Linked DNA regions of Callithrix jacchus. The protein of the gene in region 2 purifies or fractionates together with the protein of the main gene of each other region. This does not show direct contact. Links are inferred from orthologs where the notes say so. Each region holds a gene or a part of one and is shown on either strand. Other genes may lie near its edges.

Region 1 (3,743 bases), on a different chromosome or scaffold from region 2:
TTTTTTCTTCAACTACAGCTATTTTCCCACATTTTTTAGTTGTTGTATAGACTGGTTTTAAAATACAATCAACCAAAAAAAAAAAAAATTTCAAAAGAACAACACCCACCATAGCAAAAGAGGAAAACAATCTTAAAAAGCATAAAAAAGATGACTTGGTGTATCTTTGCCAGCCTTCCCAGAGAAGGCTGAGGCTCTCCCTTCCCCATCACAGAACCTGTTCACCAAGTCAGTTAGGCTAGGGGATCCAAAAGGTCAGAGAAACACAGAATGTACCTGTGGAACACAGCAATCATAGTATGCCCTTCTTTTTTAATCATCTGAAATCTGATAAAACTAGCAATGAGTAGCTTTGAAGGAGAAAAGCAGTCATAAAAGAGCAAGTAATCCTGGGGACAAGGAGTGGCAGAGGAGGGAAGGAGTTAGGGTTGGACGGTGTGTGTTTCTAGACCTGGGTCATGTTTTAGCACCAGTCTACACTCCTAGCAAGCAATCCTTGTAACTAATATTACAGAGCACCTACTCTGTACCTGACCACACACTAGGCACCTTCACCTTCATTACCTTCAAAAAGAAAATGATTAAGACCAGACTGGGTTGGGGGGGAAATGAGAAGTAGAAAAAGAGCCCCTAAGTAAGAACAGGAAAAGAAATTAAGAGAGAAATATGGGAAGGATGTCAGAAGGAATACAGTGGAGTCACAAGCTCTCTGGGAAGGGCTCGCAGGCTATATTTCAGGATTATTGGCCCAGCCCCCATCATCATTCCGGACCTGCCAGACTCACAAAACAGTCCGAAGTTAACTCCTAGATAACAATGAAGCCCAGACCACCAGATAACAATGCACTGGCCTAAGCCTTCTGAGGATCCAGGACCTTCAGAGGGGCCTCAGAGATCTTCTCATCTATAACCCCTTCCTCTTAAAAATGAAGCCCCAACATTCAAAGAGAAGTGACTTGCCCAAGGTCACAGAGAGACAGTCAAGTCTAGACCCAGGTCTCCTGGCTCCTGTTCTATAGTATTTCCCCTGCATGGGCTGTTTCACAGTGCTCTGCCCTGGGCCACCCTCACCTGGGATGGGCCTGAGAGCTCAGCCATTTCTACAAGGCCAAAGGTTAGTTGAGGGAAGGAAGAAAAGGGTTTACTCAAGAAGGGAGGCTCAAAGTGGAATTCAAGTTTTAGAAAATGAAAGAAAAGTGCAAAGACGCAAAAATACAACTCTACAAAAAATAATGTAAGGGAGGGAGAGGTCACAACCAACTGCCAAAAGATGGTGTAATTTGAACAGGAGCATTTCATCCTCCCACCATGCCTAGGTGGACAAACTCCGAGAAACACCTGTGATCTGCAAGGAACATATCTACCTGTTCCAACAGACTGCAACATGAAAGGGTGCACACCGTGGAGAAACTCCCATTCACCAACAGATCCAGAAACATCTTACAGAACCCAGCCCAGAGTCCCAAGGACATAGCCACAAGCTGAGGTCCAATCAACATTCTGAAGCCCCACCCCCACCCCACAAACTGGACATCCCACTGGATCACTGCCATAGCAACACAGTGGCAAAAGGTGCCCCTCAAGAGACCATTCCAGGGGTCCATCTGGCAGCCACCCCTCCCAGTTGCCAATGCAACTCCTATCCTCCTATAGCACCTCCGGGGGAGCCTAAGGGTACCTGCCCTAGTCGAAATAAGCTCAAGCACAAAAGGAGATCTTTGAGCTCAAAGCAGTAACCAAGGCCTCCCTATACAGATGACAGTTCCAGGGGCCACAGATGCTAGGCAATTTGAAGGTGGAGGTTGCAACTTGCTTGGAGTGCCTATAAGGTTGCTCAATTCTCTCGTTTCCATCCTCCCAGAAACCCTTTCTTACCAACTCCCCCTTCTGTGTTCCTGTTTTCCCTCTCGTTAGTTTTGGGATAACCCACACTACTGGGCCCCCGTGCCCCTCTCCAAGAAGTAACTATGTCTGATCGGGAAAACAGGGTCAGAGGTGACATGGAGTAGGGGAATGAAAACTGAGTCACAAAGACATGGCCTTTCCACTTCCACGCTGGAAAACCTCCGGCTCTTCCCAAAGATGGACCTCTCTTTGCCCAAGCCTCCGTTTCCCCAGGTTTATCAGCCACAATCCCTCTCTTTCCACCTACCACACCCCTTTCCCGTTTCCCACTTACCGTCTATTCTAACACCCCCAACCCCGGGCTCCAGAACCCGTGTTCTGGGCCTTTGGAGCTTTTTCCTGGAGCCTTCAATGCCCCACCTCGCTGCCATCTCTCCTATCCATTCTGCCTTCGCCCCAAACCCCACTCACAGCATCCCCCGTTTTCCTCCGCCAACCCCCTCCTAGATGTTCCTCCTCTTTTGGGTCCGCAGGTCCCGGCTACCCTGTGCCCCCACAGCCCTCCTCCAGAGACCCTCCCGCCTTCCCACCTTACCGATCCTTCCGAAGCCCTGGCCCCGGTCCCTCCTCGGCGGGCCCCACCCCCTGAGCCCCCAGCGTTGGGCCAGGCAGAGCCCGCAGTGGGGGGACGGGATTGGGAAAATAACAAACGGAGGCGGCGGCGGCGGGAGGGGGAACTGGGAGGGGTGGGGGTGGGGAGCCGCAGGCCCGAGCCCGAGCGGGACAGAACCCGCGGGCCCGGGGCCCAGGCGGCCGCAGACCTTACCTGCTGCTAGCTCGGGACGGCTGGCGGGCTGCGAGCGGGATTCCGGGCTCCGGCGCCTCCGGGGGGCGGCGGCGGCGACTCCCCCGCCCCCCTCTCCTCTCCTGGGCTTCAGTCGCAGCCGCGAAGACGACGGCTGCGGCCTCGACACCCCCGGAGGGCGGCCCCCATCCCCCCTTTCCCTCGCCCGGCCCCCGGAGCAAACCCGGATCCCCGCTCTGCTCCCCACCTCCCCGGGCTGCCTCCTCCCCCCGGCCGCCCGGAATGCCCCGGGCCGCGCCGCCCGCCCCCGCCCGCCCCCGCCCGCCGCGCGCAGCCCGCACCCGCGCGATCCCGGGCCCCTCGGCCGCCTCGCCCGCGGCCCCCGCCCCTTCCCGGGCGGCCGGCCCCCTCGCCCCCCTCTGGCCCCTCCCCGAGGCCGCGGTCTCTCCGAAATGGCCCGGCCGGAGGCCCCGGCCCGGCCCGGGGCTGCAGACGGGCTGGGCGACGCGTCCGGCGACTAGCACAGGAAAGCGGACGGCGAAGGGAGGGAGCCTGGGAGAGGGGGATGGGAGAAGCGAGGAAGAGGGAGAAGGAGGGAGCGCGGAGGAACGGAGGAGAGAGGGGCCAGGAGGGAGACGCGAGGGAGGGAGCGCGAGGCAAGCCGCGAGTGGGGGGAGGGGGAGCCGGAGAGGGGAGGCGCCGCGCGAGTTGGCCGAGGCCGAGGCCGAGGGGGCCGGGGCGCGGGGAGGGCTCGCCGCGGCGGAATGTGGGGAGCCCGCGGGCCGGGCGCGGGAGAGGGCTAGGTAGGAGGGGCTGTGGGTGGTGAGGGCAGATGAGGGGAGGCTGAAGTTTGGGGGCGACCGGGTCTGTGGCAGAGGTGAAGTGGGAGGAGTTTGGGGGATCCTGGGGTAGAGATTGGGATAATGGGATTGGATTGGAAAGATGGAGCTGCCTGGGGGCTTTGTGGGTGCCTGGCGAGAAGTGAGAGAAGCTTGGGGTGAAGGGGTTTCTGGCAGAGATGGAGCCAGATGGGTTTGGGGCCTGTTACCAGAGAGAATGAGATGGAAGTTTGGAGTCATAAAGAGGGAGCAAA
Region 2 (3,490 bases):
GATCACTTGTGCCCAAGAGTTTGAGGCTGCAGTGAGTTGTGAACACACTCACTACTCCAGCCTGGGCAACAGAGCGAGACCCCATCTAAAAAATAAATAAATAAAATAAAGAGGGTGGGGGGACTTTTTGGTATGAAAATGGCATTATGGTAATAATGCTTCTGGAGGATTGTTTGTCCCCATGCCACATGTTCACTTACGTGGTCAAACGTCTGGGATTTGTACTGCAATGACACGAGCAGCCACGGAAGAGCGGCGAGTCCCTGCAGCAGCAACAGGAACCCGGGGGTGCCACACTCTGCGCATCTGCAAGCTCCTGTTTGTAGCGCATGCCCCAGAAGAGCCTCCCCAGCACGGTGGTGGCCGCAGGACTTTGGAGGAGCTCCCTTCGTCTCTGCCTACCTGCCTACCACCGTCAATAATTAGCACACAGGTATATACCGAAAAGCCGAAAATCAATACAAAACATGTACGTTATTAGCACAAATAGATGACGTTGCTAAGGCTACTGTGAAAACCCAGGACTGTCCTGCGGGGCACGCTGGCACACCAGATGCCACCCCACCACCAGGGCAGCTGCCCTCCCACCCCACAGACAGCTACATTTTAAGAAATTCTCACAGGACAAAATTAGAAGACATGAAAATTTTTATTTTCAAAAAGAATGTATTTTTACATAAATCTACAACAGAATTCAAATGTAGAAAAAATAAACTATATTCAGGGATACAGCACTCAGCACAGCACAGCCCTCCCCGGAGTGGGCTTCCCCCCACCGGCAGAACGAGACTGCAGGAGCCTCACAGCCCCCGGGGTGCCCCACAGGAGGGCAGCTGCAGGTGGAGCTCCCCGAGTCTGTCACAACAGGCGGCAAATGCAGGGTGCCCAGACCCTGAGTGTCAAAGACAGAAATCAACCCATTTCATTGTGGCAACTCACTTTAGCCCAGGTCCCTCAACTGTACACCTCATCAGAAACAGAGGGGCAAGGGAAACCGTGGGACACGCATCTCCAGATGCCCAGGTAATCCCTCCTTCACCTCTGCCACTAGAGGACCCCCAGGAGAGCCCACCTGACAAACCCCCACCTCCTCCCTGGGCCGGTACAATCACAAAGCTGGAGGATTCACCCAGAACTCCAGGCCCTGACAGAGGCAGAGCTGGCTGGGCTCTGGGGCCAGGGCCATTTGCAGACCCAGTACCCAGGCTGGCTTTCTGGAGCACCACAGCCCACCCTGCCCCAAAGCCCTGCCCCATGGGCTGGCTTTGCATGGCAGCCCCCACCACAAAGGTCTCCACAGACAGGCTCAGGTTTCAGCCTCACTCCCCAAAGGCTCCCGCTCAGCTTCTGCCCGTAAACTGCTGTGCAGGTGAGCACCAGGTAGCCACGCGGCCAGGAACACAGGCAGGTGGGCAGGCGAGGGCTGAGATGACAAGGCTCTCGCTTAGCACCCAATCCCTTGAGGAGCCGCTCCTGGGGCTGCCAGGAGATGGGAAGCCGAGGGGCAGCACTGGCTCTGCAGCCCTCATGAGGCACATTAGTCCCACTGGCACCTGACCTGGAGTGAGGGATGCAGGGAGCCTTCCCATGCCACGGGTGTCCCCAACATCCCAACGGGAGCCCATCAGGAGCTTGGCTCCTTTGCAACTAAGAACCCCCACCCTGCCCCTCCCCCAGCAACACTGAGCACAGCCTACAAGGGGAGGCGTCTTCAGATAGCAGGTGCGGCCAGCCAGGGCGCCTCCTTTACTTCCCAGAGAAGGAAAGGGAGCCTTTCTCCAAGACGGCCACATAGTGATGCACTGCACAAGGATGCACTTCCCACAACTGTCCACAAAGCCCCACCTTTTTATTACAGTCTGTGGTGCTATTGTTGCAGGGACACTGGTGAGACAGACAGCAGCGCCGTGTGCGATGACCATGCTGCCATGCGTGGGCCACAAAAGGCTCTTTACACAGAAAACCACACGCGACACTGTGCTTTCCAGAAAGACGCAGACACCAGGAACGACTATAGCAGGAACAGAGGAGTCAGGGCCGTAGCCCGGGGCGGCTACGCAGCAGGGAATGGGGCGGCAGCTGTTGGGGCCACAATGGCGGTGACCAGCCACAGCGTGCACTGGGTCATGAATATCAACAAGATATAGAATGTTTACTGAAAAACACAACGCATGATAAATTGAACTTTACCCTTTTGTAATAAAAAATTAAAAACTTGTGTTGACTGTTTTGCACACAACAGGCTAGGAACTTTTCCCTAGACAGTGTTAGAAGAATTGGCAAGAAATGTCACCAGCAACTTTTAGAATCTTCCGGTGCTCTACACCTTCCGCTCAGACAAATCATCTTCCAAGAGGAGGCTCACATCCGGCCCCGTTCTGACCCCAGGCGCAGACCCGGGGGACCAGCTCGAGACACCATGTTTCTTGCCAATCCGGGTCAACTTCCTGACAGTCTCTCGCACAGAAGCAAAGGGACTTAGCAGTCACTCTTCCACAGTTTAATTGTTTTGTCATTTTCTAGCGCAGCAGAGGCAATGATATTTTCTGTTGGGTGACAAGCTGTTGAAATCACAACATCTGAAAACAAAGACACAGTCAGAAACAGAGCTGTCCCTATGCCTTGGGTTGTGGGTACCAACTCAGACTGAGCTCCACTGTTCCCCAAAAACTCTGGTAGCACCTATACACCACCCGGGAGGTCTCAGGGCAAGCACCCGCTGCCTACCCTCAACACGGGGGGCGAGGGAACAAGAGCCATTATCAGGGTGACATAGCGGGGAGGGTGGGCAGTGGGAGAAAGGCAGCAGGGAAAGCCATCCCGCCTGTAGAGCAGGAGCCCCCCATGACCCCACCAGCAGTAGCTCGGCACCCACAGGGAGGAACGTGGCAGCAAGACTGGCTGAGAGGCTGGCACGCAGGGATCCCAGTCAGACCATCCCTCGAGGTCCTCAGTCCTTTGTCGACCACATCCCTCTAGCACTCAGGACCCTGAGCCGCCCACTCACCTCCGCCCAACACTGCTGAGCCCGAGTGCCCCTCAGGGCTGGCTCTGTCACAACAGGACAAGTCCACCCCCAAAGCAGGGCAGTCAGATCTAACAGGCTGGTGCAAGGTCAGCCACATCAAAGGGTTTACAGCTCCTACATAAACCAAACAAACCCCAGAATGCCGGCGAGGACACAAAGGAAGGCCCAGGCCCGTGGAGCGTGAGCGCTGACACTGGGTGGTGGCACACTTGCAGGCTGGGTGAAGCTGCTCGCACGGAGGGAGAAGCGCCTCCCCAGATTTCCACAGGGGCTCCACACCCCTGCTGTCACTGGCCCAATGAGACATGGAAATGCAGGGGCCAGAGGGTGAGGGGGCAGCCAGGACTAGGGAGGGGGTGACCTAGGTGGCTTGGGAACTGGCACTGCCGCGGGGTCCACTTGGCTATGAGCAGCCAGGGTCTCTCTGGGAGAGAAACAGGTATCCCTGAAAGGAGCCAGAGC

What was found.
Region 1: the proteins of WDR5 (region 2) and ATN1 purify together in Homo sapiens (affinity purification with mass spectrometry; 4 studies listed by BioGRID and IntAct, counting the BioPlex papers as one, with this or other methods). This does not show direct contact. The link is inferred for Callithrix jacchus from reciprocal best matches to the Homo sapiens genes WDR5 and ATN1.

What each region holds. Positions count from the first base shown.
Region 1 is NC_133510.1:21,193,318-21,197,060, reverse strand, and holds the start of ATN1 (atrophin-1), read right to left. Parts: upstream 2,553-3,743; 5' UTR 2,441-2,552; intron 1-2,440. UniProt on the Homo sapiens protein: Transcriptional corepressor. Recruits NR2E1 to repress transcription. Promotes vascular smooth cell (VSMC) migration and orientation. Corepressor of MTG8 transcriptional repression.
Region 2 is NC_133502.1:182,724,285-182,727,774, reverse strand, and holds the end of WDR5 (WD repeat-containing protein 5), read right to left. Parts: intron 2,580-3,490; coding exon 2,479-2,579; 3' UTR 631-2,478; downstream 1-630.